Linked DNA regions of Canis lupus familiaris. The protein of the gene in region 5 interacts with the protein of the main gene of each other region in a pairwise test. Links are inferred from orthologs where the notes say so. Each region holds a gene or a part of one and is shown on either strand. Other genes may lie near its edges. The genes, in order: APOD, ZBTB22, mu-type opioid receptor, CACNG1, VAPA, ADGRG7 and PGRMC2.

What was found.
Region 1: the proteins of VAPA (region 5) and APOD interact in binary tests that used the Homo sapiens proteins (3 or more experiments, as listed by UniProt). The two-hybrid records come from large-scale screens. The link is inferred for Canis lupus familiaris from reciprocal best matches to the Homo sapiens genes VAPA and APOD.
Region 2: the proteins of VAPA (region 5) and ZBTB22 interact in binary tests that used the Homo sapiens proteins (3 or more experiments, as listed by UniProt). The two-hybrid records come from large-scale screens. The link is inferred for Canis lupus familiaris from reciprocal best matches to the Homo sapiens genes VAPA and ZBTB22.
Region 3: the proteins of VAPA (region 5) and mu-type opioid receptor interact in binary tests that used the Homo sapiens proteins (3 or more experiments, as listed by UniProt). The link is inferred for Canis lupus familiaris from reciprocal best matches to the Homo sapiens genes VAPA and OPRM1.
Region 4: the proteins of VAPA (region 5) and CACNG1 interact in binary tests that used the Homo sapiens proteins (3 or more experiments, as listed by UniProt). The two-hybrid records come from large-scale screens. The link is inferred for Canis lupus familiaris from reciprocal best matches to the Homo sapiens genes VAPA and CACNG1.
Region 6: the proteins of VAPA (region 5) and ADGRG7 interact in binary tests that used the Homo sapiens proteins (3 or more experiments, as listed by UniProt). The two-hybrid records come from large-scale screens. The link is inferred for Canis lupus familiaris from reciprocal best matches to the Homo sapiens genes VAPA and ADGRG7.
Region 7: the proteins of VAPA (region 5) and PGRMC2 interact in binary tests that used the Homo sapiens proteins (3 or more experiments, as listed by UniProt). The link is inferred for Canis lupus familiaris from reciprocal best matches to the Homo sapiens genes VAPA and PGRMC2.

Annotation. Positions count from the first base shown.
Region 1 is NC_049254.1:31,201,431-31,205,484, forward strand, and holds part of APOD (apolipoprotein D), read left to right. Parts: intron 1-1,846; exon of another isoform or gene 1,847-1,931; intron 1,932-2,010; coding exon 2,011-2,132; intron 2,133-4,054. UniProt on the Homo sapiens protein: APOD occurs in the macromolecular complex with lecithin-cholesterol acyltransferase. It is probably involved in the transport and binding of bilin. Appears to be able to transport a variety of ligands in a number of different contexts.
Region 2 is NC_049233.1:2,907,252-2,911,914, reverse strand, and holds the start of ZBTB22 (zinc finger and BTB domain-containing protein 22), read left to right. Parts: upstream 1-1,434; 5' UTR 1,435-1,871; intron 1,872-2,548; 5' UTR 2,549-2,617; coding exon 2,618-4,540; 3' UTR 4,541-4,663. Other genes in the region: DAXX (death domain-associated protein 6), read left to right, coding at 1-255, 417-639, 851-910. UniProt on the Homo sapiens protein: May be involved in transcriptional regulation.
Region 3 is NC_049222.1:44,382,540-44,387,228, forward strand, and holds the start of mu-type opioid receptor, read left to right. Parts: upstream 1-1,611; 5' UTR 1,612-1,651; coding exon 1,652-1,944; intron 1,945-4,689. UniProt on the Homo sapiens protein: Receptor for endogenous opioids such as beta-endorphin and endomorphin. Receptor for natural and synthetic opioids including morphine, heroin, DAMGO, fentanyl, etorphine, buprenorphin and methadone.
Region 4 is NC_049230.1:13,485,466-13,490,120, forward strand, and holds the start of CACNG1 (voltage-dependent calcium channel gamma-1 subunit), read left to right. Parts: upstream 1-1,513; 5' UTR 1,514-1,679; coding exon 1,680-1,914; intron 1,915-4,655. UniProt on the Homo sapiens protein: Regulatory subunit of the voltage-gated calcium channel that gives rise to L-type calcium currents in skeletal muscle. Regulates channel inactivation kinetics.
Region 5 is NC_049228.1:75,972,254-75,975,592, forward strand, and holds part of VAPA (vesicle-associated membrane protein-associated protein A), read left to right. Parts: intron 1-2,607; coding exon 2,608-2,766; 3' UTR 2,767-3,339. UniProt on the Homo sapiens protein: Endoplasmic reticulum (ER)-anchored protein that mediates the formation of contact sites between the ER and endosomes via interaction with FFAT motif-containing proteins such as STARD3 or WDR44.
Region 6 is NC_049254.1:7,623,654-7,627,707, forward strand, and holds part of ADGRG7 (adhesion G-protein coupled receptor G7), read left to right. Parts: intron 1-3,514; coding exon 3,515-3,775; 3' UTR 3,776-4,054. UniProt on the Homo sapiens protein: Orphan receptor.
Region 7 is NC_049240.1:13,524,511-13,529,048, reverse strand, and holds the start of PGRMC2 (membrane-associated progesterone receptor component 2), read right to left. Parts: upstream 2,887-4,538; 5' UTR 2,857-2,886; coding exon 2,439-2,856; intron 1-2,438. UniProt on the Homo sapiens protein: Required for the maintenance of uterine histoarchitecture and normal female reproductive lifespan. May serve as a universal non-classical progesterone receptor in the uterus.

The DNA.
Region 1 (4,054 bases), on a different chromosome or scaffold from region 5:
TTAAAGATTTATTTATTTATGATAGACACAGATAGAGAGAGAGAGGCAGAGACACAGGCAGAGGGAGAAACAGGCTCCATGCCGGGAGCCCGATGTGGGACTCGATCCCGGGACTCCAGGATCGTGCCCTGGGCCAAAGGCAGGCACCGAACCGCTGAGCCACCCAGGGATCCCCAAGTAATAGATTTTTAAGTTTCTAAAATGCTTCCAATTAATATATTGACTAAGTAAATATATTCACATGGGTCCAAATTCTAAAGGTGCCAAAGAACATTCAATGACAAGTTCTTTGTCATTGAACCTACCCCTGGTTCCCTCCCTAGGAGCAACCAGTTAAAAACAGTTTATTGTGTATCATTTGGGAGATAGTGTATACGTACACAAATACATACATAAGTGCAGTAGGCAGAATGATGTCCACACCCTGATCCCTGGAACCTGCGAATATGCTACTTTCCACGAAAAGGAGGATTTTGCTGATGTGAATAAAGTTATAGACTTGGAGATGGCCAGAGAGCGTGGATTACCCAGTGGGCTCAGTCTAATTATTGAAAGCAGAGAACTTTCCCCAGCTGTGGTCAGAGAGGTGTGATGATGGAACAAGAGAAAGAGAGATACAATGTGAGAAGGATTTCACCCACTTTTGCTGGCTCTGAAGATGGAGGAAGGGGTTCAACCAGCCAAAGAATGTGGGTGGCCTCTAAAATGTGGACAGGGGGATCCCTGGGTGGCGCAGCGGTTTGGCGCCTGCCTTTGGCCCAGAGCGCGATCCTGGAGACCCGGGATCGAATCCCACGTCGGGCTCCCGGTGCATGGAGCCTGCTTCTCCCTCTGCCTGTGTCTCTGCCTCTCTCTCTCTCTGTGACTATCATAAATAAATAAAAATTAATAAAATAAAATAAAATAAAATAAAATGTGGACAGGGCAAGAAGACAGAGTCCCCTAAACCCCCTAGAAAGGAACACAGTCCTGCCAACACCTTGATTTTAATCAAGCTCACTTGATGTACACACCCATGAGACCATAAATTTGTGTTGTAAGCTTGTGGAATTTGTTATAGCAGCAATAGAAAATGAACATAATAACCTTTCCCCCCATTTTCCATATACTCTTATTTTTTACCCAGCTCTTTTTTTCCATTGAATGCATCTTGGATATAGTTGCATGACTCCTTTAAAGGAGGCTATATAACATTCGGTTGTTTGGTTGTGCCATACACATTTATGTACCCAGTCCCCTACGAATGCTCACTTAGACTCTAATTTCCTGTCTTTTGTTCTTACAAATAGCACTGCATCAAATAACCTCATAAATGCACTAGATGTATTTTCTTTGCTAGATATTGTCAGATTGCCCCCCATGCAGGTTGTAAATTGGAGCAGTCTCCATGCAAGGCAGTGCATGGAAGCATGAAAGTACTTGTCTCTCCTTACCGTCACCCACACCATTGCACACTTCCTTTAATGTTGACTCTGTACACGAAGCTATGAACGGAGACCAAGTCCCCAGTGAAAGAATATCAATCTTCTGAATCCTGATCACTTGCTAAAAGCCTTTGTGACCAACTCCCTGTCCGGGGTCTTATGAGGAGAATCAACCAACTCTGGAGTCCCAGTTCCCCAGAGTGACCATATCTGGCTTTGCACACAATTCAAAGATGCCTCGTAGAATCACAAAATATTTGAGATGGAACCTTACATCATCTGGACCGCTCCCTCTCCTTTACAGAGCCTAAAATTTCACATAGATTCTGGCTGGAGGGCCCACTGACATCATATCTAAATAAAGGTCACTTTAGGAATAAAATGTGGCATTCGACCAATGCCTGCAAATCTGACTCACTTACTCTCATTTGAATCAATATCTTGCTCAGTTGCTGTCGGGAACAGTGCAGCCCATTTTGCGTGGTTTCCCCAGGAAAGGGCTCTGCTCTAAAAGACGACAATAGGGAAGAGTTAGCAGGTCCCCAGAGAGCCACAGGGTTTTCTCTGCTTATTGTTATCTCTGCAGTATCTTGGACGATGGTACGAAATTGAGAAGATCCCAGTGAGCTTTGAGAAGGGAAGTTGCATCCAAGCCAACTATTCGCTAATGGAAAACGGAAACATCAAAGTGATAAACCAGGAGTTGAGGTGAGTGGCTGCGGTTTCAAAAGCAACACGGTCCCAGAGCCAGCCTGCAGAGAGCTGTCCCCGGGTGACTGGGTGTCCTTGCGGCCTAGCTCAGCGGGGAGGCAGACGTGGCTGCGTCTGCACTGACTACTCGCAGCAGGTCCTGAGATGAAGGCTTTTGGCAGGCAGGATGGTGGGGACTAGAGGCCACTCGCTTATTTGCAAGACCTCTTGCTGGGCATCTTACTGTATTGTGTACTTACTGTATTGTGTGTTCCCGGCGAGCACTTACACTTATTCTGGGCCTGTTGTGTGTGTGCCCCTGTAAAAGGTACTGGGGACTCAACGGGAATCCAAACTGCAGGGTTCCTGCTCTCCTTGCAAAACAGACACGCTGGTAGCAAAGGGCAAGTGAGACTTTGATCTGATCTGATCTCCAAACCAAGAGAGAAGCTCTTTCTACCTCATCGACTGACAGAGGGCATCCAGCTCGGCTTGAACCCTCCCAGGAACTGGTTGCTCATGGCAATTCATTCAGCCGTGACGACTAGAAGACGCCTGTTCTCATTAAGCAAGAATCAAATACATTCATAGCCACACTCTAGGGTTCGTGAACAGGATAGCCTTTAGAAGTATGCTTTTCTGTTTCCGAGAGCTTCTAACCGAGTTCTATTTCGATAGAAAAATTCATACTTTAGAAAGCAAACATAAACTTTAAAAATGCCCCAGGAAGACCTCCTACCTACCTTCCATCAACAAAGATAAGAGCAGGGATGCCTGGGGCCTCCGTGGTTAAGCAGCTGCCTTCAGCCCAGGGCGTGACCCCAGGGTCCCGGGATCGAGTCCCGAGTAGGGCTCCCTGCAGGGAGCCTGCTTCTCCCTCTGCCTGGGTCTCTGCCTCTCTCTCTCTCTCTCTCTCTCTCTCTGGGTCTCTCATGAATAAATAAATAAAATCTTAAAAAAAAAAAGATAAGAGCAACAGTAAACAATAGTGGCAAATATTAAGCATTTCCTGCGTGCAAGGCGCTATTCTGTGAGTGTACGTGTATGTGCACGCGTGCACCTGGGTGGATGTGTATGTAAACGAGCATGCGCCTCCGGGCCCTGAGGCAGGTACTCTTAGTAAGGCCACTTTTCTAGATGAAGAAACAGAGGTACAGGGAGGGAAGGGAACTCGCCCGATGGCCGCACCGCTTATAAGCAACGAGGCCGACGTTCAAGCCCAGAGAGCAGGGGAACGTGGAAGACAACAGCCGCCGGGAGAGAGGGCTGGGACCAGGGCCGTCCCTCCTGTCCCCTGCGGGATCTGGGAACTGTGTCGGCTCCAAGGAAACCGCCACGGCGCAGCCTGGAAGGCCCTGCGGCTCCGGGAGGCTTTGCGGCCGTCCTGGTCCCCACCAGGCTTCCTGTGCCCGACCGGGGGTGGCCCCTGGCCCTGCAGGAATCCGGGAAGCGAAGTCACATCTTAGCGGCCTAGAGAGAGAGAAAACCGGCTCATCTCAGAGCCCGGGCACGGCGACCGGGCCCGGGTGCAGGCGCATCGAGGCTGCGCCCCAGGAGTTGTCCTGGTCTGCGACGAGGGTCAGACACGGCCCGGATCGGCCGCTTCCTGACGCTGGGCCCATCCCTGGTCAGGGAGTCAGGGCGACGAGGCCTGTGTCCCCCCGTAAGCCGGCGACCACCGGGGACCCTCCTTCGTGGCCTTGGGGAGCCTGGGCCGGGCGACACGCGGCGTTGGTGCGGGTAACCCTGAGGAAGCGCGACCCGACCCGTCTGTCACCCGCTCCGCCTGAACACACAGACACGTTTTCTCCATGAACCGATGCTGAGTTTATTATGATCAGAGACGGCGCCTTGGAACTGTTCCGGGCGAAACAGAGCCGGAGAGGGAGGGCGTCCGTGGGGACAGCTGCCGCGGGCTCGTGGGTGGCCCAGCGCGTGTC
Region 2 (4,663 bases), on a different chromosome or scaffold from region 5:
TATATCTCAGCTCTTTGAGCTAGAGATCGAAGCCTTGCCCCTGGATACTACCCCTTCCCCTGAGGAGAGGGACATTTCCTCTTCCAGGAAGCAGTCAGAGGAACCTCTCACCACTGTCTTGGAGAATGGAGCAGCCATGGTCACCTCCACTTCCTTCAATGGAGGGGTGTCTCCTCACACCTGGGGAGATTCCTGTCCCCCCTGCAAGAAGTCTCGGAAGGAGAAGGAAACTGGAGCAGAGCCATTAGGAAACAGGTAACAACAACAAGGAGGAAGAATAGGGAGGCCAAGGAGACATTACAGGGGGCTTTCTGAGAGGAATATTGAGGAACTGGGTCTGCTGGGAGAAACTGGACACTCCCCCTCTAGCCTCAGGCTCTCCATACCTCCCTACATATTTGCATTTCTGTCCCTAGCTATGTGGAAAGGCAAAGGTCAGTGCATGAAAAGAATGGAAGGAAGATACCTACTCTGCCCAGCCCACCTTCTCCCTTGACTTCCATGGCCCCAGTTGCGGATTCCTCAACGAGGGTGGATTCTCCTAGCCATGGCCTGGTGACCAGCTCCCTCTGTAGCGCATCTCAAGCCCGGTTGTCCCAAACCCCTCATTCACAGCCCTCCAGACCTGGTACCTACAAGGTAAGAGGGGGAGGCAGTTTTTCCCTGACTTAATTCTCTTTCATTGTCTGTTCAGTTTCAGGATTTTCATCTGAATATTGCACACACCACATCCTCTCTCTTCCTTTTTTTCTCACCCCAATTTTTAATCTCGGATAAGTCCTTTCCTCTGCTCCTCCTCTCCGTATATTCCGGACGCTGCTTTCTGACTCTGTCTCTCACTCCCCTGCAGATGAGTGTGGCCACACAGTGCGATCCAGAGGAGATCATCGTGCTCTCAGACTCTGATTAGCTGCCTCTCCTCCCACTCCCAGCCTCCAAAGTGTTTTGGGATAGTATTTGGAGGATGGTGGGAAGCTGATGACTGAGGAAGGGATTGACTGAGCTAATCCCCTTTTTGGTGGTGTTTCTTTAAAAAACAAAAACAAAAAACCAACAAAAACTTAAGTTTTACACAGAAACATTAATAAACAATAAAGTTCTTTTCTTATTGTATCCCTGTCTTTTTCCTTGTCCTTCTACGTTCACCGCTCGGCACCAGTCGTTCTCTGGCTCAGGGTTAACCTTGGTCCTGGGCTACCCCTTGGAGCTGTCCTTTGTAGCCTGTCTTTAGCTCGCCTCCCGGAGTTCCCTCGCCCTCAGACCTTCCCCTAGCCCTCGGCCAGGCACTTAAAAAAAAAAAAAAAATCAACTTGCTGCAGCCTCCCAAACTCGCTTTACTTTTCTCACTTCGAGCGGTAGGAGTAAAAAGGCCAATCAGGGGCCGACTCAAGGTTATTTTGGCCAATCCGTGCCCGGAGGAAGGGGGCGGGACTTCAGGGGGGACTGTCAGAAGCTGGGACAGCAGGGCGATTAGATCCCGCAAGCCCACTAAAGGCCACAGCTCAGGGGCGGGGCCTAAGCAGCGACGGCCGAGACCCTTCGCCAATGGGAAGGGCAGGCTTACAGAATTAAAGGGGAATGAGTGCTTCGGCCGAACCACCAAGTCCTGAGTTCTTCAGCGGCAGAAGAGGCCTGGTACCTTTAAGGTGGAATGAGGCGGCTGTTCTTTAAAGGAGAAGTGGACGAGTCGGCCGAGTATTGCCTAGTGGCACGGGCAGGGGTGCCCGCCTGTACCTTTAAAGTCGGAGGGGCGGGAGGCGGAGCGGAGGCGGAGGGCGGAGGGAGTCGGCGCAAGATGGCGGCGGGAGGGGCCCAGGCTGCGGCTCTGGCCGCCGAGTGAGGGGCGGGGGGGCCCGGGGGCGCGCGGCCCGGTAAGCGGGGACGCGCGGGGTTGGGGGCGCCTTCCGGGTGGGAGAGGAGGTCGAAGTAGCGCTTGGGGCGGAGCAGAGGGGGGCGGGGTCCAGCGTGGGCGGGGGTAGACAAGGGGCGGGGCCGAGAGGGCCACGGGGGTGGGTCTTGAAGAGGCGGGGCCGAAAGCCCACGGGGCGTGTCTTGAAGGGGCGGGGCTAGAGGTAAGCCGGGGGGCAAAGGGGGGCTTTGGCTCGCGAAAGAGCTGGGGGGCATAGATCCGGAGGGAGGGATGTTCTTAGTACAGGAACAGACTTGCCCCCTCCCAAGAAAAGGGTGCAAAACACCAGTAAGGTAGATTTGGGAAAGTCAGGCGCTCAGGCAAATGGGGAGTTCTGAGGAGAGGCGCCCCACTCCCCAAGAGTACCTTACTTCTCTTAATATCCAAGGAAGGAGCACTGCATTTGGAATCAGGACATCTGCGTTTGCTGGCACTGCCAGTTACTGGCTGTGTGATCTTGGATAATCTCGTAATCTGAGCCTCGGTTTGCTCATCTGTCAAATAGGGTTGAGAGGAATGCCTACTTTAGGGTGTTGTGGGGAACTACTCAGATAAAGGGTACGAACATGTTTTTAAACTGTAAAGTGAAGGGCTGTGTCATTATGGAATGTTATCCTTCTTCTTTCTTTTTCTTCCCAGAGACCCCCCCGGCCGCCCTTTTCCTTCCCTTGTTCCTGTGGCTGGGGGGGTAACCCCTCCCTCCACGCCATGGAGCCATCTCCTCTCTCTCCCAGTGGGGCAGCACTCCCCCTGCCTCTGTCACTGGCTCCGCCCCCACTGCCCCTGCCTGCAGCTGCAGTGGTGCACGTGTCCTTTCCTGAGGTAACCAGTGCCCTTCTGGAGTCCCTCAATCAGCAGCGGCTACAGGGCCAGCTCTGCGACGTGTCCATCCGTGTGCAGGGCCGAGAGTTCAGGGCTCATCGTGCTGTCCTGGCTGCCTCCTCCCCTTACTTCCACGACCAGGTTTTACTCAAGGGCATGACCTCCATCTCGCTGCCCAGCGTCATGGACCCAGGCGCCTTCGAGACTGTCCTGGCTTCGGCTTACACTGGCCGTCTCAGCATGGCTGCTGCTGACATTGTCAACTTTCTCACAGTGGGGTCGGTGCTCCAAATGTGGCACATCGTGGATAAGTGCACTGAACTCCTCCGCGAAGGCCGGGCCTCAGCCACTACCACCACCATCACCCCTGCTGCAGCCACCTCTGCCACTGTTCCTGGTGCTGGGGTCCCATCGGGGAGTGGGGCCACTGTGGTCCCTGCCACCGTGGGCTCCGTGCGCTCCCATGCCTCCAGCCGGGCCAGTGAGAATCAGTCCCCCAGCAGCAGCAACTACTTCAGCCCCCGAGAGTCCACTGATTTCTCATCTTCCTCCCAAGAGGCATTTCCAGCTTCTGCGGTGGGCAGCGGGGAGCGTCGAGGAGGTGGCCCTGTATTCCCAGCCCCTGTGGTTGGCAGTGGGGGGGCTACCTCTGGGAAGCTGCTGCTGGAGGCAGATGAGCTGTGCCATGACGGCGGGGACGAGAGGGGTCCTGTGGTTCCTGGGGCTGGGCTCCGGCGGCCCACCTACGCACCCCCCAGCATCATGCCACAGAAACACTGGGTATATGTGAAGCGGGGTGGAAATAGCCCAGCACCAGCACCCCTGGTTCCCCAAGACCCAGATCTGGAAGAGGATGAGGAGGAAGACCTGGTGTTGACCTGTGAGGATGATGAAGATGAAGAGCTGGGGGGTGGCTCCAGGGTTCCCGAGGCGGGAGGACGGGAGGCCACCCTAAGCATAAGTGATGTCCGCACCCTGACTGAGCCTCCGGACAAGGGAGAGGAGCAGGTCAATTTCTGTGAGTCTTCCAATGACTTTGGCTCCTATGACGGTGGGGGTCCTGGAGCAGGGCTTGATGATTCAGGGGGGCCAACCCCTTCCTCCTATGCCCCCTCCCACCCTCCAAGGCCCTTGCTTCCCCTGGACATGCAGGGCAACCAGATCCTGGTTTTCCCATCATCTTCGTCCTCCTCTTCCTCTTCCTCTTCCTCACAGGCTCCAGGCCAGCCACCAGGGAACCAGGCTGAACACGGGGCGGTGACCCTGGGGGGCACGTCGTCAGGGGCCCTGGGCATGCCTGGTGGTCCTGGGGGAACCCCCGGAGGGACAGGCAGTGGGGATGGGAATAAGATCTTTTTGTGCCACTGTGGGAAGGCGTTCTCACACAAGAGCATGCGTGATCGGCACGTGAACATGCACCTCAACCTGCGGCCCTTTGACTGCCCCGTGTGCAACAAAAAGTTTAAGATGAAGCACCACCTAACGGAGCACATGAAGACACACACAGGCCTCAAACCCTACGAGTGTGGTGTCTGCGCCAAGAAGTTCATGTGGCGAGACAGCTTCATGCGCCACCGGGGACACTGTGAGCGAAGGCACCGCCTGGTTGGGGGCGGGGGCGGGGGCGGGCCAGGACCCGGGGGGCCCACCGGGCCAACCTTGCCCCTCAAGAGAGAGTCCCCTGGAGCGGGCGGGGGCAGCGGTGACGAGGCAAGTGGGGCCACGCCCCAGTCCAGCCGCAGGGTCTGGTCCCCACCCAGCGTCCACAAGGTGGAGATGGGCTTTGGTGGAGGTGGAGGAACAAACTGAAGGGGCAGCTCTGGAGGTAGCTTTCCGGTTTGAGGAAACGGAGGCTGAGCCAGGCCGCCGTGGCCCTCAGGTGATCTCCCGCCTCACTTAATGTCTTCCTTATCTCTACAGACTTGTATATAT
Region 3 (4,689 bases), on a different chromosome or scaffold from region 5:
TGAGTTACCTGTTTTCAAGAAAATGATAATATTGGAATTAAACATTTTTTCAAGCTCCCTAAGCCACTCCTCTCCCTGTTCCCCAAGAGTGTTGCTTTCTACAACCAGCTGGGTATATCTAATATCAATCTTTATTGCTAAAAAATATATACCGGGCAGCCCTGGTGGCTCAGCGGTTTAGCACCACCTTCAGCCAGGGGTGTGATCCTGGAGACCTGGGATAGAGTCCCACATCAGGCTCCCTGCATGAAGCCTGCTTCTCCCTCTGCCTCTGTCTCTGCCTCTGTGTGTGTGTGTCTCTCTCGTGAATAAATAAATAAAATCTTTAAAATATATATACATAACACAAATACACACATACAGTTATGGGAATTACTTCAGGATTAGTATTAATTTACCAAAAAGCAAACAAATAAATAATAACAAAAATATCTTACCCCTGGTTGATTTACACATGTATTTCTAAAATAGAAATATTTAGGGTCTTGGAAGTTAGGTATCAAATTTAAAATGTATCAATATTCCTCAACCTTTTGTCAGCCACTCCAGTTCCAGATGTCTATGAAATTCCTCCTGGAATCTCTACACTGGAAAACAGACTGATATAATGCAAATGTTTGATTTTGACAACCTCCCACTGAGAAGCACATGTTCATGTAGCAATTCTGGCAATAAAAGAGATAATAAATAATTCTAAACGAATCTATGAGATCTAAGATGTGGGGGATCACCAATATCTTTCGTTGCTTTCCCAGATGCCACCACCCTCTGATTTCTATAACATGTTCTTGTGCCTTGTCCCCACCAGGGTAGAAATCAGTGTAACTAGAGCTTCTACTTTAAGAGAAATTGGGGACATATGGAGTAAAAGGAATAGATTTCCTAGACAAAAGTTTGCTTCTCACTTCTTTTTCAGAGAAAAGACCACGTTTGTTTTAAAAAGCTTTGTAGGTCTGAAAATTTTCATTTACTGATGTAAAAAAACACGGTTAGTTTTGTGTGGACATGAAGGACTGAGCTAAGGAGGACTAAGGAAAAGGAGTTTGTGAACCCTGTCCCGAATGATTTCAGCAGACTGGAGGGCTGGAGGCGCGCTGGGGTGTAAGGATTGTCCGGGTTGTACCAGGCCAATGTCTTTCCTTTCGTATTATACAGAGAAAACGGAGCTGGGAAAACAGACTGACGTCAGCCCCCTTTCTTATGTTTTCCTGCTGCCAAGAACTCACTCTCTGTCTCCCCCATCCCTTCCCCATTCTGCCGCTCCTTAGGTATGCTTGCACCGACGAGTGCCTTTTGGGAGACAGACCAACTCGTTGGATCGCTTTGCGCAAAATCCACCCCTTCTCTCTCCTCCCTCCCCTTCAGCCTCCGGATCCCGCACAGCCCTCCCTCCCCTCCCCACAGCGGTGTGGGGTTGAGGATGCATCTCTACTACTAAGGCGGAAGGGGGCTGCAAGCAGAAGATTATGTCAGATGCCCAGCTCTCCCCTTCTACCTGACGCTCCTCTCTGGCTGCACCAGGGCTGGTCTCTGTAAGAAATAGCAGGAACTGTGGCAGCGGCGAGAGGAGGCGGCCGAGACGCGTGGAACCTGAAAAAGTCTAGGTGCTCGCGTTCACCTCGTAGCGAAGTCCCAGACAGCCGTCAGCACCATGGACAGCAGCTCCGTCCCCACCAACGCCAGCAATTGCACTGATCCCTATACGCACGCTTCAAGTTGCTCCCCAGCACCTAGCCCGGGTTCCTGGGTCAACTTCTCCCACCTAGATGGCAACCTGTCCGACCCATGCGGTCCGAACCGCACCGAGCTGGGCGGGAGCGACAGCTCGTGCCCTCCGACCGGCAGCCCTTCCATGATCACGGCCATCACCATCATGGCCCTATACTCCATCGTGTGCGTGGTGGGTCTCTTCGGAAACTTCCTGGTCATGTATGTGATCGTCAGGTAAGGAAGGCGCCAGGGCTCCCACCAGAGACTTCAGCAGCTAATAGGGGCGTAAAGGGACACCTGATCCCCCAGGCAGCGTTTGGCGGGAGGATAAGAGAAGGGAGGTAAACAGGGGAGAATATGGGGGCGACGGTAGGTAGAGTGGTTGTTGTGAGTGCAAAAATCTACTTTTCTATTTTTCCCTCCATTGTTAAAGAACCAAAAATTTCAGAAACAGATAAGTTGCTTTAGTGGAAGATGTAAAGCTCTGCGGGGGGTGGGGGGATGTTCTGTCTTAGAGCTCACTTTCACTGAGCCAAGAGGGTTCTTGGACTCAGAATCCTACAGTCCCTTCCACAGGAGCTGTGGAAACAATAATTTGTGAATGATGGAAGAGAAATTCTAGTTAGTTTTCCTGATGAAGGGAAATCTCCTTTTCATGTCTGAAGTTGAACTTGAACATGCAACTTCCCTATCCCTGCTGGCTTCCAGGTACTTTGCTGCACCACAGCACCCCCCTCCATTCCCTTGTCACACTTGTCCTTGCCCCACTGTTCCTTCCATCCTGAGGCCACACTCATTGAGAAAGTTTTCTGTGGTAAACAGTGTTGCTTTGCAGGAACAAATATGACTGTTGTGTTGCCTAGACCATTTGGCAGTTGGCAGCTGCAGATCTGCTAGGGGAGTCACAAACTGAATTGAGAATAGATTAGTGTGGTTCAGGAGATCTGTAGGGCATGACTGTTTTCCAAATCCTCTGAAAGTGGGAACCAACTAGAAGTGACCTTAAACATCATAATTCTGGATTATAACTATCTTTAGGAACTTACAGTGGTTTCTCTGAAGGGAAAAAAGTGTCTTAATCAGTGAAATTTTTTGAAAAGAGTTTGTGGCTCATTTTCTTTCTACCTAGATACTCCAGGTTTATTTGGCAAAGAATGTGCAAGCTTTCAATATTAATTGAGATTAATGTAGATTGTGTTAGTGTTGGTGTGCATATTCAAATCCTACTTCTAATATGGAATACTATATATTCATTTTTGTTAAAGTAGAAAAATATTTTAACACTTTAAAATGGTTTCTAATTTGGGGTCTTCTTCCTACTACAGATTATATGTATGTAGTGAACATAGTATTTTCATATTTAGTTACAATATTCACTTCATCTATTCAGCAAGTACTGCAGGTTGTAATGGAGTTCCTTAATCATTTAACAATCATTTTTCCCCTTATGCTTTCCTGACCACGGTGCTGCAAGCTGCTTGTAATCGATTATTTCTCATATGTCTGATTTCCTTAATTAATAATTGTTAAAGAATAAAACTAATTTCTCTAATCTTTTGATGAGGAATAAGATAAGTAGTGTCTCTGAGAAAAGAGCACCATCTATTGAGAAGAAGGCTAACAACAGAAAGGAAAATGTAGGAAGGAAATCAATGGAGAATTTATTTTTGAAAACATTTACCGTGTATAATGAAATACAAAGACTCATATCAAAGATAAAAACCATGTCTCACATATTTACAGTTATGACAATAAAAATCATAATTAAAGGGTGACCTTATGAGAAGAAAATATATTTCTCATTTGTCCTAAGAAAATTCATAGAATCATAAGCTGATAGGGCTAGAAAGGACCCTAGAGTTTACCTATACCAGATGAGTAAACTGAGGCACAGAAAATATTAATGATTTCTTCAAGGATGGATAGTCATTAGTTCAATAACTGTATTAGTTCAATATAATATCTATCTTAGCCAGTATAATTTTCTTTTTATTAGAGTGGCAAATCATGATTTGAGTTAGTCCAACTAAAATAATAACAGAGTAGATTTAATTAGAAGTAATAATGTGGAAATAATAAAGTACCCTAAATTTATGTCTGAAATCCTGGAAAATAAATGATGAAGAGAAATTACCAAAGTGTGTAGAAATCCTGCTGTCTGAAACATAATCCTGTATTCCTTTTTATTGCTTCTTTTGGTATTTTCCTTCCTTGTTTTTTCTCCCTCCTAGTTTTATGCTTTTCTATAAAGAGAGTCAATAAAGCAGCAACTGGCTGTGAAATAAAAAGATTGGTCTTATTTCAGTGTTTAAGAGATTGCTGGTTGGGTGAGTTTATTTTAAAGGCATTACCTCTGACCTCTTAATGACTTGGAGGATAGTGACATTGCATCTTAGTGGGAACATGATATTATGCTTTTACTTCTCTGTACTGAAAGTTCTAACAAAATGCAGTATGATTTGAAAGGTCACCCAAACATATACCTATGGCACATTTGGTGTATAATTCCATACTTATGTAACCTTATGGTAATATGACAGTGACACAGAAAAATGAACAGTTTAGTGAACAATAAAGTGACGAAGAAAGCATTTGGAGATTGAGAATATATGTTTATTTAGCTTAGAATATTTAACTGGACTCCAAGCTGTGATGTTTTCACTACAAAATGATAGTTCAGAGATACTATTGCCTCTGTTTAAAAGATAAGTATAATGCTACATCTATTAAATTATTGAGGTGAAATGCTCACTTTCTGCTATTATTTAAAATTCAACAAATATTTTTGAATGGTCAAGTGCAGTTTATGGTCAAGTTACAGTTTTCTATCCAGATTAAGGTGATATTTATTAGAATGCTTTAATACCTCAAGTAAATTATGAATCTCAGATGACTATAGCAACCAAAACAACAAAGGTAACTGGTAATACAGATGCCATGATTAATACTTTTCTGCTCTGTGTCTCAACCCCATCATCA
Region 4 (4,655 bases), on a different chromosome or scaffold from region 5:
TCTGCTTATGTCTCGGCCCCTCTCTCTGTGTCTCTCATGAATAAATAAAATCTTAAAAAAGGGGCGGGGGGGCAATGATGTGGAAAGGTTTACCACAACACGTGATATACAATAGATACACAAGATGCGCGGTTCCTATGATTATCGTTATTATTAACAGTCTGTGACTCCAAGGCTGGACGCCTGAGTGCTTCTCCGCCCACAGGCAGAGTATTTCTGTGAGCTGTGTCAGCCTGAGGCTGGGATTTTGAAGTCAAAACCCTGCCCAGCTCAGGGGTCTATTCTTGGCCACACACTAGCCTCTTGGATAGACCCTAGAAGAGGCAACTGGTCAATTGATAAAGAAGAGATGCAGAGGGGCGCCTGGGTGGCTCAGTCTGTTAAGCATCTTCCTTCGTCTCAGGTCATGATCTCAGGGTCCTGGGATCGAGTCCTACATCAGGCTCCCTGCGTGGAGCCTGCTTCTCCCTCTGCCTATGTCTCTGCTTCTCTCTTTGTGTCTCTCATGAATAAATAAAATCTTAAAAAGAAAGAGAGAGAGAGATGCAGAACCCAGGAGGGATCCAGGGGCTCGAGCCTGGGGTGGGGGACATACGGGCTCGCAGGACTCTCTGGGGGCCATCCCAAACTGTCCTCTGTCCTCTGCTGTGTCCACACACCATCAGCCTCTTCACAGTTCCCTGCCGACCAACCCACTTCTGTTGTTTTTAACTTAAATATATTTATTTTGTAAATGAAAACAGAACTGGCGAAACGTTAATAGAAGTAAAACTCAAACAGTAAAATAAAAACAGAACGACAGTCAGGTCCAGCTAGATTCCTTGTCCTCTCCAAGCTAGTCTTTGATTCGCAAGCATCAGAAAGGTTAGCTAAAGACTTCCTTTCCTTCTGGACCCAGTTGAAGGGGTGGGAGGAGAATTGAAAAGGAAAAAGCATTCCCACGCCAGGCACAGTGCTGGGTAATGCCAGGCCCAGGAACCACCAGGAATCTTCCCGCAGTTTAGGGTTGTGCTAGGACTTGAGGCTAAAGCCAGGGAGGTGGGCCCCTGGTGGTTCTGGTGGAGGAGCCCCAAGATGTCCCCACGCAGGCTCCTGCATTCCCCAGACCCCCAGGACAAGGACCCACTCACACCCCTTTGCACTGGTGACCGGCCTGCCCAGTGTGGGAGCTGGGCTGTGGTACCTGTGTCCCGCAGGGTCCCCTGCCGTCACCCAGCTGTATCGCCTCCTCCTGCAGCCCAGAGCAAGCACATTCCCACACATCTAGTATCCCTGTGGCCTATCCCTCACTGCCTCCAACTCAGGTATCCTGAGCTGCTAATCGTGGAGATCCCAAGTCACCATCTAGAGCCTTCTCTCCCTGCCCCTCCTTGAGGTATTTTAGGTCTCAGGAGGGAAAGAAAGTCCTGAAACCCGAGGAGAAGCTATCCTCGGTGACACGCCTGGGATGTGCATTAATAGAAGCCTCCCTCAGGCCCCTGACACGTCTGGGCAGCTGCTCAGCCCCGTCTGGTGTCCCTCAGCCCCGAGGCCAGCCCACTCTGGCTCAGCCGGACGCACTAAACTTAGCTTCCACCCCCAGCTCGATAATCACCGCCACCTCCCCAGCCTGGCTGCCACCTGCGCGGGACACACTGCCACCAGACTGTGCCCAGGGCACCCACTCCTCCGCCACCACCATGTCCCAGACCAAAGCGCCGAAGGTCCGCGCGACCCTCTTCTGCATCCTGGTGGGCATCGTGCTGGCCTTGGTGGCCGTGGTGACCGACCACTGGGCCGTGCTGAGCCCCGAGGTGAAGCACCACAATGCCACCTGCGAGGCGGCCCACTTCGGCCTCTGGCGGATTTGCACCAAGCGCATTGTCATGACTGACAGCAAGGACAAGACGTGCGGACCCATCACCCTGCCTGGGGGTAACGTACCCACCCTCTGACCCCATCCCTGCCTCCTGCCCTGCTTCCTGCCCCTGGAAAAGGTGCCGCTGGGAAAGAGGGCAGGTTTCCCTGCCTCAGAGCAGAGATCGTGCCCAGCCTCGGTGCCCAGGGAAGAGGATCCGAACGGCCTCTGTCCTACTGGCCAGGGCCGCTTGTAAAGCCAGGGCGCCTGTCCCTCTTTCTGTCCCGCAGAGGCTCCCGGCCTTCACCCTGAGCAGGGGGCTACCCACCTGGGCCTAACAGGCCTGAGGCCCTGGCCCCCGCAGTGGCCACCCTTCTGGGTGACCCCGCTTTCCTTTCTCCCTGCACAGACAGGTTCAGTGGCCCTAAGTCCTCAGGCTGCAGGGACATGTGCGGCTGGCACGGTCACTCCCCAGGGTCAGCCACCAGATTTGCACAGCATAGCGCAAAATGAAAACGCAGGGCTCTTTGTGAATATTTTTAAGGATTTCGAGATGGTAACAGTGACGCACGGAGCCGAGTGTGGGTCCCTTCTGTGTGCAGGGCCTTGGTTGACCGCAGAAGCCACACATCTGTAAAGCAGGGCCCGGTCGTAGACGAGCCTCCCGCCTTTTGTCAGAACTGTCACACCTGCACATCCTCTCTTAGCTCAGACCCCTCGGAGCTGGGATGCGTGTCCTCCTGCTCTGATTTCAGTGCGTTCCCCAATTTTCCTACCCTGTGACCGAACCGCACATCCGAGGTGAGCTCCTCGTGAAGGATCAGGGTGGTATTAGGGTGACCAGTCTATGCTACAAATGCGGAGCCCTCCACACTCATAGCGAACAGAGCACACGCTGGGGAAAGAGCCCTGCGTGGAGAACCAGAGGACTGGGCTCTGCGTGCATTGCCCACGACACTCCAATGACTCTGGGGTCCACCATGCCCATTGCGGCCTCTGCTTCCCCCTGTAAAATACAGTGTTCGGGCTCTGCAAAGCCCCTTTCAGCCTTTACAAATGGCACCGTAAGGTGACAGTGGGCCAAGGCGAGTACAGGGACCCACCTGCCTTGCAGAATTATTCCCTCTGTTATCAGACTGGGTGTTCCTTGAACCCAGTTCCTTGAACTTTCAAGGAAGTCAGGGCTAAGTCCCCAGAGATCTTGCAGTCTGTGCATGGGACAAAGGAGCCCAAACCCCATTCCTCTACTTCTCCTTTTCCTCCTCTTTTCCCTCCTGCTGGCTCTAGAAAACCCCTGCCTCGCTCATTCCCCCTGGACACACAGAAGACTCGTAAATACCCAGCTGTCTTAGAAACACTGCGTCCCCGGGCCGAGGGCTTTAACAGACGTGGACATGTGCTTGAAGGGTATCACGTAGCTCACATGTCCGCGCTCCTTCAGCCCCGGCCCAGCACAGCCGTAAACAGATGCATCATCCAGCCAATTCCCATGGGTGGGGCAGGGCAGGGGGAGGCAGATTCTCCACGGACCACGCATGGGAGTGCCCTGCCATGGTCCCGTCCACCTGTCCTCAGAGGCACCCACCTTTTAAAGTCTGCTGAGTTTATAGAGCAGATGAGCAAGGAGGCGAGGCAAGTCCATACAAGGAAGGGACAAACTAGCAAGAGGTTAGCTGCACAGGCCCGACAGGCATGGTTTGGTCCTGACCCTGACCAGAGTCTATCTCTACGCCTTCTTGCCCCGCTCCAGAGTGAATCATACCTCCCACGCTTGTGAGCCCAGCCCTACCCTTGACAAGCTTCTGAAGTATGTGCCAGCAATCTCCCCTCTCCTTTCTCTGCAGATGGACACCTTCCCCACCCACCTTTCCTGTGCTCTGTGGGGTTACTTTTTTCTAGAGGGAGGAAGAGAGTGCATACATGTTCTCTCGCTTATTATTAATAGCAGTAATAGGGACCGCAAACACAAATCTGCCAAATATTGTTTTCAGTGCCTCCCATCTTTTAACTTTGAATGACATCAGAAGAAATGGCAGGGTAAGAATCCCCCTAAATGTCTTCTCCATAAAGACAATGAGAACTCTAGCAAAACACGGTCAGAACAAACCTTTTCAGAACCCTGGACACTAACGAATCTTGCAGCAATCCAGTGAGTGCTTATTCAAGAAAAACAGGTGAATCTGAGTCAGAATGGTGAGTTTTGTGGTGCTTTAACTTGCTCTATTTCTGTTCCCCACTCCCCAAGTCTATTAGAGCCTTGAAAACCAATAGCCTGCAAACAGTGTAAATTTAGCCCCCAAAGGGGACAGATGGGGCTGGATCTCATTCAAAGCCTCATTCCCAGAGAACTGTCATTATTTGATCTGCCTGGTGGTTCCCTGGAAGTCCCCACTTGTAAGGTTGTCTTTATTTGACCTGATGCTGAGCTCACTCAGTGGAAACAGTCTTTTTCTCAGGGGGCATTTGGCAAAAACAATTAGAAGCAAATGTTTAATAGCATAATTTCCTGAGGCAGTAGACAACAGTTAGGGCAAACAATAGGCTACCAAAACAGCTAGAGAGTTAGATGTCCATAGGTGGCTTGGAAGAGCTCCAACAAGGATGCCTGGGTGGTTCAGTGGTTGAGCATCTGCCTTCGGCTCAGGGTGTGATCCCAGGATCCTGGGATCAAGTCCCTCATTGGGCTCCCTAGGGGGAGCCTGCTTCACCCTCTCTCTGTGTCTCTGCCTCTCACTGGGTGTCTCTCATGAATAAATAAATAAAATCTTTGAAAAAGAAAAGAAAAGCTCCAACATATTCCTGAGAATTTGGAAGGCCA
Region 5 (3,339 bases):
TCTTTTCAGTATAACTTTTTCTAGGAATCTCTCCTCCCAGAAGCAAAGAAGTATGGTTTTGGAATGCTATCTCCTTTGTTTCCATGAAACCTTCGTCATCTCACTGTACCTGTTTGTTAAAGGTTTTTCTCCCTCCAGTGGGCGCTAGCTCTTTGGGAGCAAGGACCTGTGTTCATTCATCTTTGCATTCATAGCACATGCATATAGTAGTCATTCATATATTCGAATGAATAAATGGATGAACGGGTGAATGAGAACTAATTTGAATATATGCAGAGTGTATTAATAATTTGCCTTTGACAAGTACCTTATTTCAAGATGTGAATACCTTTAAATTGCCATTTTAGGTTTTGGAACTTTTTGTATCAAAGTAGATGATATAAAAATGTACATAAGTAAATAAGCTAAATTAAGTGACTTAATTTACATTTGATTCTTTCATCTGTTAATGTATATAGGAACTGTATATACTGTGAATCAGAGGCACAGTATCTTGGATTGATCTGTGCTGAAATAATTGTCTCTTTCTGTTTCACAGTACTCCTCAGGGGCCCCCAGCGCCTCTTAGGATAGTGGAAAAACTAGTTTCATTTCACACCTATCCACACATCATAGATTTTTAAGGATGTTGTTGTTACTCTTACTTTATCTGTCATGACTTCCATGGCATAGTTCTATTCTTTGATGAAAGGTGTGCTCCTTAGCATGCTCCGTACTTTTTTTGTTCAAAAAGCCAGTTTGTCTCTTGGCAAAGAGGAGAGTAGAAGTGGAAATGGTAGGAATGACATAAGTAGGGCAGGGGTGGGAAGAGTGCACAGGGAGGAAGGTGAGATTTGGATGCTGGTCTCTCCCCTTCATTGGCTGTTTGTAGGAGATGTTATTTGCAAAAGTGTTCTGCTGTTTAAAAGATAAAAGAACCTTGAAGATCACTGGCTTATAGAATCCGTTTCAGGCCCTTTAATAACATTTCATACATAAGGCCCATCATAATATGTTCTTTTTATTCCTCTAGTCCTGTGGTTCTTAAGCCAGGCTGTGCATCTCAGTCTCCTAGTGAGCTTTTAAAAAATACCAGGTCCTCCCCAGACCTAGTAAATCAGAATCACTAGGAGGGTTTTTTAAAGTTCTTTTTTTTTTTTTTTTAAATTTTTTATTTTATTTATTCATGAGAGACACAGACAGAGAGAGAGAGAGGCAGAGACACAGGCAGAGGGAGAAGCAGGCTCCATGCAGGGAGCCTGATGTGGGACTCGATCCTGGGACTCCAGGATCACGCCCTGGGTCAAAGGCAGGCGTTAAACCGCTGAGCCACCCAGGGATCCCGGTTTTTTAAAGTTCTTGAAGGGATTGAGAATCTGTGTTCTCTTCATGTAGGACTAATGAACAAAGACTAAAAAACCCTACAAACCCTCAGAGAATGTAGTAATTGCAAATAAAACAGTATGACCTGAGGTGGACTTTTTCATTTGGTGTTACGGAGCATGTTAGAGGAATCAAAGTGAGAAAATAAAAATGAGCTTGCACTAAGTAAGGAAGTAGCAGTCTGCCCTGTCATTCATCTGGTTGGGATGATGGACACAGATAAAGCCAGTTGCCTAGGTAACAGGTATCCGTATTTTTCCCAGGGTCACACAGTGGCTGGTAAAGTGTCTTAACAACTTCCTATTTTGAGTGATTACTGCTTTCTTACTGAGAAACCTTGTTCCCTAAAATCATACTGTCCAAAACTTTGCTGTGTGGAATCATACCAGTAAGAACCAAGCAGCCCTTCTTATCTAGAGGATCTGAGTCACTTTGACACACAGAAGCCCAGCCATCCTTTCCAGTCTAGGGGCATGCCTCCAGTAGGGGGGGGTAGGGGGGTAGGTGAGTTCTGTATATAACATTCCATAGCTGCTGTAGTTTGTCGTTTCCGAGGAAGCAGGATTTTGGTGTTTCCTTTGCGATCAAGACTCAGTGCTGACCCTTCTACACATATACCTTCTGCTTTGAGCTTAACGAAACACTTGCTATTTAAATTTTATCCTGAAATTCCCCCTTCCTGCAAATCCTATAAAATGCCTGTCTTTTCCTTTGGCCAGCTACTCCCAGTGCCTCTGCTGTGTGGGTGCCCTGGCTGCAGTGTGTCAAACCTGTTAGACCACAGCTTTGTTCGTGGTGGTCTTTGGTAACCAGTATAAAAATACTGCGGGCCACCATGGAAAAAGTGCATGCACTTTTATTAACATATTTTAGTGGAGTTTTTTTTCCTGTTGTATAAATATAGTTATACCTGCTTTTCAATTTTTTAGGAGTAAATTTTCAGCTCTAGTTTTTAAAATCGACATTATTGAGGAATCATTTATATTCCATTAAGATGCCCACTGTGAGTGTACGATTCAGTTATTTTTAGCAAATTTACAGAGTTATGCCACCATTACAAGACTCCAGTGTTAGGATGTTTCCATCACCCTAGAAGGTTGTCTTAATGCTGGTTAGCAGTTAATCCTTGATCCCATCTCAGCCACATGCACACTAATCTGCTTTCTGGCTATAGATCTGTAGCTTGGCAGTTTTACTGTATGCGTATTTGTTTTTAAAACCTCTTTGTGCATATATTTTTTTCAGGATGAAGGCTTAAGGCTCAGAAAGGTAGCACATTCGGATAAACCTGGATCAACCTCAGCTGCATCCTTCAGAGATAATGTCGCCAGTCCTCTTCCTTCCCTTCTTGTCGTAATTGCAGCCATTTTCATCGGGTTCTTTCTAGGGAAGTTCATCTTGTAGAGTAAAGCATGCAGAGTGCTATTTTTTTTTTCTCTTGACCAGAAAAAGATTTGTTTACCTACCATTTCATTGGTAGTATGGCCCACGGTGACTTTTTTTTTTTTTTTTTTTTTGTGTACAGCGTCATATAGGCTTTGCCTTTAATGATCTCTTACGGTTAGAAAACACAATAAAACAAACTGTTCGGCTCCTGGACAAATTGTATATTACCAGATCATCACTAGCAGATGTCAGTTGCACATTCAGTCCTTTATGAAATTCATAAATAAAGAATTGTTCTTTCTTTGTGGTTTTAATAAGAGTTCAAGAATTGTTCAGAGTCTTGTAAATGTTATTTTAATAATCCCTTTAAATTTTATCTGTTGCTGTTACCTCTTGAAATATGATTTATTTAGATTGCTAATAATCCCACTCATTCAGGAAATGCCAAGAGGTATTCTGTGGGGAAATGGTGCCTCTTACAGTGTAAATTTTCTCCTTTACCTTTGCTAATATCATGGCAGAATTTTTCTTATCCCTTGTGAGGCAGTTGTTGACTGAGTTTTTCATCCTTACAATCCTGTCCCATGGTAC
Region 6 (4,054 bases), on a different chromosome or scaffold from region 5:
GGCTTGTTGCCTAGAGTGAGGAGGATTTAAAAAAGTACCTGAAAGGAGAGATAGTCAGAGAATATTCTCTCCTCCTACGGCAGGCACATTATAAAATAGAGGCTCATTACAAAATGTTAATACTCTCTAGTAAAATTGAGGGTGACCATATGACAAGAGCACTGGGCTAAAAGGAGAGTTAGGCTGTCATCCAGCTTTACCATTAATTATCATGTGATTTTAGGAAAGTCGTACAACCTGAGGGAGGTATGTAAAATCTAAAATGGAGGGGGGATGTTAAAATTGGTGCTGTGTTTTCCAAAGCAAGTCTGAATATTGCCTACGTGAGATTTATATAGTATGTTAAAATGCTTATTCCTCAGCCTCACCCCTTACCTGGTCAATTGGAATCTATGGGGTAAGAGCTAGAAATCTTCACTTTAAATAGGGATTTTATTTTTATGTACACTAAAGTGCCTATATGTAAGGCTCCTTCTAGATTGAGTGATAGATTGATTTTTACAAAGATCTTATTTATTTATTCATGAGAGACACAGAGAGAGATACAGAGAGAGGCAGAGGGAGGAGCAAACTCCCTGCAGGGAGCCCAATGTGGGACTCGATCCCAGGACCCTGGGATTATGCCCTGAGTCAAAGGCAGACACTCAACCACTGAGCCACGCAGGTGTCCCATCCTTCTAGATTTAGAATGCTGTAATTCTGATAGACATTTACTAGGTGCTATAGATATTGTTTTAAAAGCACAATTTGATCTTTATGGTAGTGAGAATTGTTTGATCCATACATTTTATCTTTTTCAATAACATCTCTGGGATTTTAAGGAGTATAGAAATATTGGGATTCCACTCACACAGCTTCACAGGATGTTGTCTTCATGAGTTCTCCATGGTCTAGGTGTTTTCCTAATTCTGTACAACTAGAAATTTATCCAGTCTTTTAAGTATAGAATAGTGTACTCCCCACAAAGAGGACCAGATTTCTTATATCTTCAAAATAAATCTCTCTTGAACAATCAGGATGGCCAGTAACCACTTCTGCCCTTCCAAGACCTAAGTCCCTATGCATCCTTCCTTGTGTCATCATCAGATGGGTAAATACTGCCTCTTGGATAATGATCAAGTTAATCTTCCTGTTTTTGGTCAGAGAACTGGCCAAAGGAGAGTTTTATTAGTTAAATTCTCAGGGTCTTTGGGTTATCTTACCAGAGCATCAGAAGTCTCCTACAACAGTATTCCTAAGATATGCTTCTAGAAATAGATCCTTATAAGGCTTGGGCCCTAGAGATTCTAATCTGGAGAAATTTTTTTTAAGTAACTTTATTTCTAAAGAGTTTAAAACATGAAGTTGCAAAAATAGTAGAGTTCCCAGGTACTCTTTTCCCAGTTTTCTCCAATGCTAATATATTATAACCATAGTCCATCATCAAAATCAAGAAGTGAACATTGGCACAATACTATTACTCAACTAGTGATGTTATTTCCACAAAGGAGATAAATGAGAAATTTACAGGGGGACTCTTAGATGCTGTCATATACTTCATAATATCCTTCTATTGCAGTTACAAGCAAGAGACAGAGTAGTATATTGGCTAGAAGAGCTTTGGAATCAAATGGAGTTGAGTTCAACTCCAGACTCCACTTATTACCAGTTGAGTAATCTTAGGCGGGTTACTTAAATTATCTGAGCTATAGTTTTCCCACCTGTTACATGGGCTGCTAAGGCTTATTTTATAGGGTTGGTGTTAGGATTAAATGAGAAACATTAAATGATGAGGATTACATGAAAAGCACTGTCTGATACCAATAGGACTTCATTATGTGGTGGTTTTCATTTTAAAAGTGTATATGTATACAATGGAATATTACTCAGCCATTAGAAACGACAAATAGCCACCATTTGCTTCCACGTGGATGGACCTGGAGGGTATTATGCTGAGTGAAATAAGTCAATCGGAAAAGGACAAACATTATATGGTCTCATTCATTTGGGGAATATAAAAATTAGTGAAATGGAATAAAGGGAAAGGAGAGAAAATGAGTGAAAATATCAGTGAGGGTGACAAAACATGAGGGACACCTAACTCTGGGAAATGAACAAGGGGTATCGGAAGGGGAGGTGGGCAGGGGGTTGGGGTGACTGGGTGATGGGCACTGAGGGGGGCACTTGGTGGGATGAGCACTGGGTGTTATGCTATATGTTGGCAAATTGAACTCCCATAAAAATAATTAAAAAGTGTACAGAAAATAGTATTCAGTCTTTTGTAGATTAATTTCTCATGCACATCTGATTTTTGTACATAAAGGACAGAAAAGCAATGAATAGTAGTGCTTAAAATTGGTTTTGTTCTTAAACACTGCAGACTTTTACTTGTTGTGTAGTAACTTGTTGTGTTACTAAAATGCCAAGAAATGTACAATCATAGAATGTTAGAACTGGAAGGAGAATTAAGTGACCCATAGGCAATCTGTCTCCTTCAGGAATTGAAGTGAAGTAACTGCAGTCTACTAAAACATAAATATTTGGTCTTTGTCCTCAGTACACAGTTCCTAAAGTCTTTGGAATTGATTGTCTTGGAAGTGATGAGTATCTTTTGTATGTTAATGAATGACTGGAGGCTGGGGTCCCTAGATAGCTTCAGGCTGGAGGCTTGTTGCCAGAAAGACTAGACCTGGTTTAGAAGTTTGGAACTTTCAGCCTTACCTCCAGGAAGGGGAAAGGGGCACGAGACTGTGTCAATCACAAATGGCTAATGCTATTGGGTCCTAGAGTTGCGAATCCTGTATAATGGAACCTCCATAAAACCCCCTACATGAAGGGGTTTGGAGAACTTCCAGGTTGGTGAACATATTAAAGAGCTGGGAGGGTGGTACACCTGGATAAGGCATGGAAGTTCCATGCCCCTTCCCCTATATCTTGTTCTATGATCTCCTCCATTTGGCTCTTCCTGAGTTGTGTCCTTTGTAATAAACAGGTAATGGTAAGTAAAGATACTTCCTAAATTCTGTTAGTAGGTCTATTAAATGATCAAACCTGAAGCAGGGAGGTGGGTTTGAAACCCTTGACTTTGTAGTCAAGTCAGACAGAAGTATGGGTAATGTGGGGACCCAATGTTTGTCCCCAAACTTCACTAGCACCTGAAGTGAAGGCAATCACAGGACTGTTAACCTGTGGAATCTGAAACTAACTCTTGTTTGTTAGCGTCACAAATCAATTGGTATCACCCAGTTGGTATCAGGAAGAGAAAGAGCCTCTCAATCATACAGCCAACATGTGGTGAACTGGGACCTAAATTCGGGTCTTCTAAATCTACTGTTTCCATGTAGCACTTTATATGTGAGAGGAACGTCACCTGAACCCTCTGAGATGACAAAGTGCACAGCAGCTGCAGACGTAAACTCAGGTTGGGGAGTTGTTGTCCATGATGAGATGGGCGGGTGGCAAAGCAAAACAAATCTCTTCCCTGATTCTGTATCTTAACACTGATCTAGCATAAAACTTTTATTCTATCTGCCAGGGATTGCAAATTTTTATCCTGTACACTGTCAGAACAAAAATCTTCCAGAACAAAGCTTCCGAAGTGTTGAAGTCACTGTCGCTATCCACTGGGAGAGTGAAGCTGAAGCCATCAGTGACCACAATGAGGCTGCGTGTAAGGATGTATAACATGCTCAGGTCACTTCCAACCTTAAGTGAACGCTTTAGGCTGCTGGAGCCATCTGTCATCATGGAGGAAACGACACTCTCTGAAAGTGACCAAGCAAACCCAAGCATCTAGACAGTGAAACTACTGCCTTTGTGATCCTCTTTTTATACAATTCATGTTAAGTGTTGCTTATTCTGTTTCTTTCCTTTAATACTTGGTCCTCCCAGAGAGTCTCCTTCAATATATTTTGTTCAAGGCTAAGACTCAGGTAAAACTTGTTTATTATCATCAGGGATAATGGATTCGGTATTTTTTTCTGTCATTCAGTAGATTCTTACCTGAATGAGGTAAAGAATTCCACCCAGCATTCAGGATAATTCAAGATTATCATTGTTACTTATATCATAAATG
Region 7 (4,538 bases), on a different chromosome or scaffold from region 5:
ACCCACAAAATAATTATTAATTCTAAAACCAACACTGTGAAATGTAGATATTGGCTAGGCATAGAATAAGGTTTTCTGCTTCTCAGCTCATTCTTTCAAGCTACTGAGATTGTCAGGCTAAGATCATTGCTTCTGAATTATTCTATTACGAAGTGCTCAGTTGACCTGAGGATGAAAATAAAAATGAAAACCCAAACTGAACTTATATCTATTTCATAGCCAGAAATTGGCTTCAAGACTTTTGGAAAAACTGTTACATCTTCTATTAATGTGAAATATCAACATATTCCAAGCCCATAGATGATCTGGCTCCTTTCAAGGCTCCTTTCAATAATATAACATTCCAAACATCTCTACTAGGTTGATCAATAAATACTTAGAAAATAGTAATTACCCTTTGGCTGTTCATCAGGACATGGGAATTAATGGAAGCCAACCTGAAACTGACTTCTCCCTTATTATCTGAGGAGCTTGCTCAATGCTTAAGCCACACAAAGGCTATCCACATCACATCTATGACTCTTAATTTTTAATTTCTATTGTATAACATTCGCCACTGGAGGCTGCTAAACTGTGAGTAGGACAGCCTTTCCTAGCTATTTGCAGATAGTGGCAAGGCATAATGCGCAAGGACTAATATGCTTCTTTGCACTAATACTTTGTTTGTTTCACTGTCAGTGTAGATAGGGGCTGCAAAAGCAAATCTTTTAGTTGGGCAAGCTCAATATTGAAAATCTAAACCTATACACAGTTTCCAATTACTGCATATACATTTTATTATCAATGAGAAAGAAACTTCAGGTACCAAATACTGTTCAAATCCTTGATTTAGAAAAATTAGCTATTTAAATAGGTATGTCCATTTAATTACTGTAGTTTGGCCCTATTCTCTTGTCCCATATACTTTCAAGTAAACAAAAAGTATTAACCCTTTCGGCTGAATTAAGTATGTAGACATCTGCTTTTCAATTTTAAACAACCAGAAGCATTATCTAAGACTTGGTTAAAGTGAATGCGGATCTATACACAAAAATACAAGCAACTAAAAATTAAATAGTCCAACACATAAAAATCTACAATTTATCTCTATTCCATTTAACAGCAAACCAAAGCACTTCCAAAATATATTCCAGCCACCAAGCGCTGAAATCAGAAGTTCGTATTTCTAAGTGCCAGTGAATCTCATGGACTAACAGATTACATCAAGAAGAAACCAATTTCTTTTTGGGACTTGTCAACCCCCTCGAATTTGAGGCTTGGATGTATTCTTTAGAATAACAGGTCACTCTAGGTCCCTAATTTTATTATGTATTTTTTTATTGTAGTCACTTTAAGTTTAGGATTAATTACTACATAACCAGGATGTACAATGTTGCTCAATTTTATCGTATACCAACAGGTTCCATGAGTCTGAACTGAAGTTTATTAGCATAATCTGAAATGTATGCTGTAACTACATTGCAAAGGAAGGGTTTCTAACCCAACTACCCTGCACACACGGTTCTCGGAAAGCAAAGTTCTAAAAATCTCTAACTTGCAAAACTGGTGCACTGGGGTATGGATTTATGTAGCTCTTTTAAGTTTTTGCTGCTCAGTGAAAACACAAGTCATTATCAACGTGGATTTGAATACTTGCCTTCCTACTATCAAAAAAAAAAAAAAAAAAAAGTAAAAAGAAACCAGGCAGGCCCGCCTGCTGGGTATTTGAGCTCCACCTCCAAAACTCAGGGAGACTATCCTTGCCAGTCTTTATTAAGATCTACATTCTGGTCTGTCCTCATCCTACATACAGTGTTAATCTTGGAAAGCATCTCCATACTAAAACTGGTTTGAAAAAAAAAGTCTGAGGTGTTGCTTATATGCTCAGACTTCACAAGCTAAACGGTGGGGGCTTGGAAGTACGTGTACCTAAACGTGGCCTTATGGGGAATAGTAGAGAAAAGGGAGATCAGTGACAAAACAGAGTAAAGAAAGGAAAGCTGTGAATTACCTGGCCTACAAACTTTGGGTCCCTACATTAGGCATCTCCCGTCCCTCCTGCCCCCACCCATCCCAGGAATCAGAAAGCTCAAGAAAGGTAGTGGGCTAGCGTGACGGGCGACAACTGGGAAGATTCTGAAAAAAAAAAAAAAAAAATCAGCAGAAGAAAAAGCTTCGTGGAGGAACGGGATGGGAGAAAGAGGAGAGCTGAGAGCCGGTTCCTGGGGCGACACTGAAACCTGCACTTGGGCCGGGGGGGTGACCTGCAGGCGCCCGGAGCTGGGGGTGTGTGTGGGGCGGGCCGTCCCAGGTGCAGGAGCCAAGCCGCAGGGGTCCAGACGTCGGGAAGGCTGGGCAAACTAACCCGGAGCCCAGGGGCCTCCCCGTCTCGCGGGGGGTGGGGGGGTCGCACAGGAGCTGCAGGAGGTCCTCCCCCTCCCCTTCCAACTCCTCCTCACCCGGGCCGTAGAACTTGCTGCCTTTGGTCACGTCGAAGACTTTCCCATTGACCGCGAGCAGGATGCGCGGGGTGCGGGAGCCGTCGTACTGTCGCAGCTGCTCCAAGCTGAAGTCCCGCTTCTTCATGCGAGGCAGCGAGGCAGCGGGGCTCTCCTCGCCCGCGCCGGCCCCGGTGCCCAGACCCCGCCGCCCCCAGCGCACCCACAGCCGGTAGGCCCCCAGCAGCACCAGCGCCACCAGCGCCACGTTCAGCAGCATCTCCCCGCCCCCCGTCAGAAGCGCCAACGCTGCTGCCGCCCAGCCGCCCCCTTCTGCTGCCGCTCCCACGCCGCTGGGGCTCTCGCTGCTGCCGTCGCTGCTGCTCTCGCTGCCACTCCCCAGGGTGCCTAGCTTCACGTCCCCATCACCCGCCGCCATCACTGCCCGCCAGCGCCTTCCTCCTCCTCCCCGCCCCCTGCCCTCCCCAACCCCACGGCCGACCCCGCCCCTCTGGGGGCCTCCCAGCCAATGACAGGAGGGGAGGGGGCGGGGCCAAGCCTGCTCTCCATTGGGTGTTGAAGGGGTAACGTTGTCTCGGATCGCTCCCTCCCCCCTCCCTTCTTCAGCAGGCCGCGCTCGCGTGCGACGCCCCGCCCACCTCGCCCCACACTTCCCTGCTTTCGCTCAGCGCCTCGGCTTGCAGAAGTACAAGACGGGGAGGGGCGGGCCTGAAGAAAAGATGCAGCGCCGGCCGCGCGCGCGCGCGCATAGGCGGGGGGACACTACAGCGCGTGCGCGGGTTCCGGAGCGCCACGCGCTCTCCTTTCCCCTGCGCCTCCTCCGGGGGGCCGGCCCCGCCCGGTTGGTTCCCTCCGCTCTACGCGCGTGCGCCCCGGAATCGCTTCCCTTCCCAGGCTTGGGTTCGCGTCCGCGCACTCCCGCCTCAGCGCGGCGGCTCGGCACGGGGACTTCACGTGCGCCGGGGCGGCCGCGGAGGCGGAGTCTCAGTCTCGTGGGGTCGCCTTTTCGGGGGCGCAGGTTGGCGGCTTGTGGGAGGCCGCGACCCAGTTTTCATTACTGGCGCAAACTGTTGAGGGGCGTCTCTTTTTTGTCCCCCCCCGGGCGCCGTCGCGCCTGTCTGGAAGCCAGGAGCGTGGGCGCGCAGACAGAGCTGCCGCCCGGAGGTGTTGGCGACGGGCTGGAGCCCTCCTGGCGCAGGAGGAGCGCACGGAGCCCGCGCCGGGGCCGCTGGGCGCCCGGAGCCCGCTTGCTGTCTGCGCCGGCACCGAGCCGCCACCGACGGTGGTCTTGGCCGAGGCCGCTCCCGCAGAATTCGCTTTCAGGTTTTACGCTGAAGGTGCTGTTCCTGAATGAATAGTCTGTGGCGGTAGGGAAGTGGATAGAATGAGGCGGTCCTTCTGTTCCCTCATTCAGCTTTAACTCACGATTTCTTTTTATCTCCTTAGGTCCTTCGTAGTCTTTTAGGCTCCCAAGTCCTTAAAAACAAAACAAAACAAAACACAAAAAACCTGGCGTAAATGTCTCACCTCTGAAGCCTTGTTCTGGGCCCCTTACCTCAGGCGCTCATCTCACTGGACTTGGGCTTTCCTGCCCTGGTCTGTTTTGGTGTTGGTGAGTTCCCACACAACCACCCCAAGAACGGCCAGTTGTGGACTACCGGTGTGCCGAAAGAATGAAGGTGTGTTAAGGGAGTAACACTTTGGGTCTAATCTTTTTTTTTTTTTTTTAAGATTTTATTTATTCTTGAGAGACCCAGAGAGAAGCAGACACACAGGCAGAGGGAGAAGCAGGCTCCATGCAGGGAGCCGGAGGTGGGACTCAATGCCGGGACTCCAGGATCACGCCCTGAGCAGAAGGCAGATGCTCAACCCTGAGCCACCCAGGTTCCCAGATGATGGCTGTTTTATTTTTATTTTTTTTAAGATTTTATTTATTTATTCATGAGAGACACACAGAGAGGGGCAGATACACAAGCAGAGGGAGAAGCAGGCTCCACTCAGGCAGCCCGACGCGGGACTCGATCCCGGGTCCCCGGGGTCACGCCTGGGTGGAAGGCAGGCGCTGAACCGCTGAGCCGCCCAGGGATCCCCCAGTTTGGG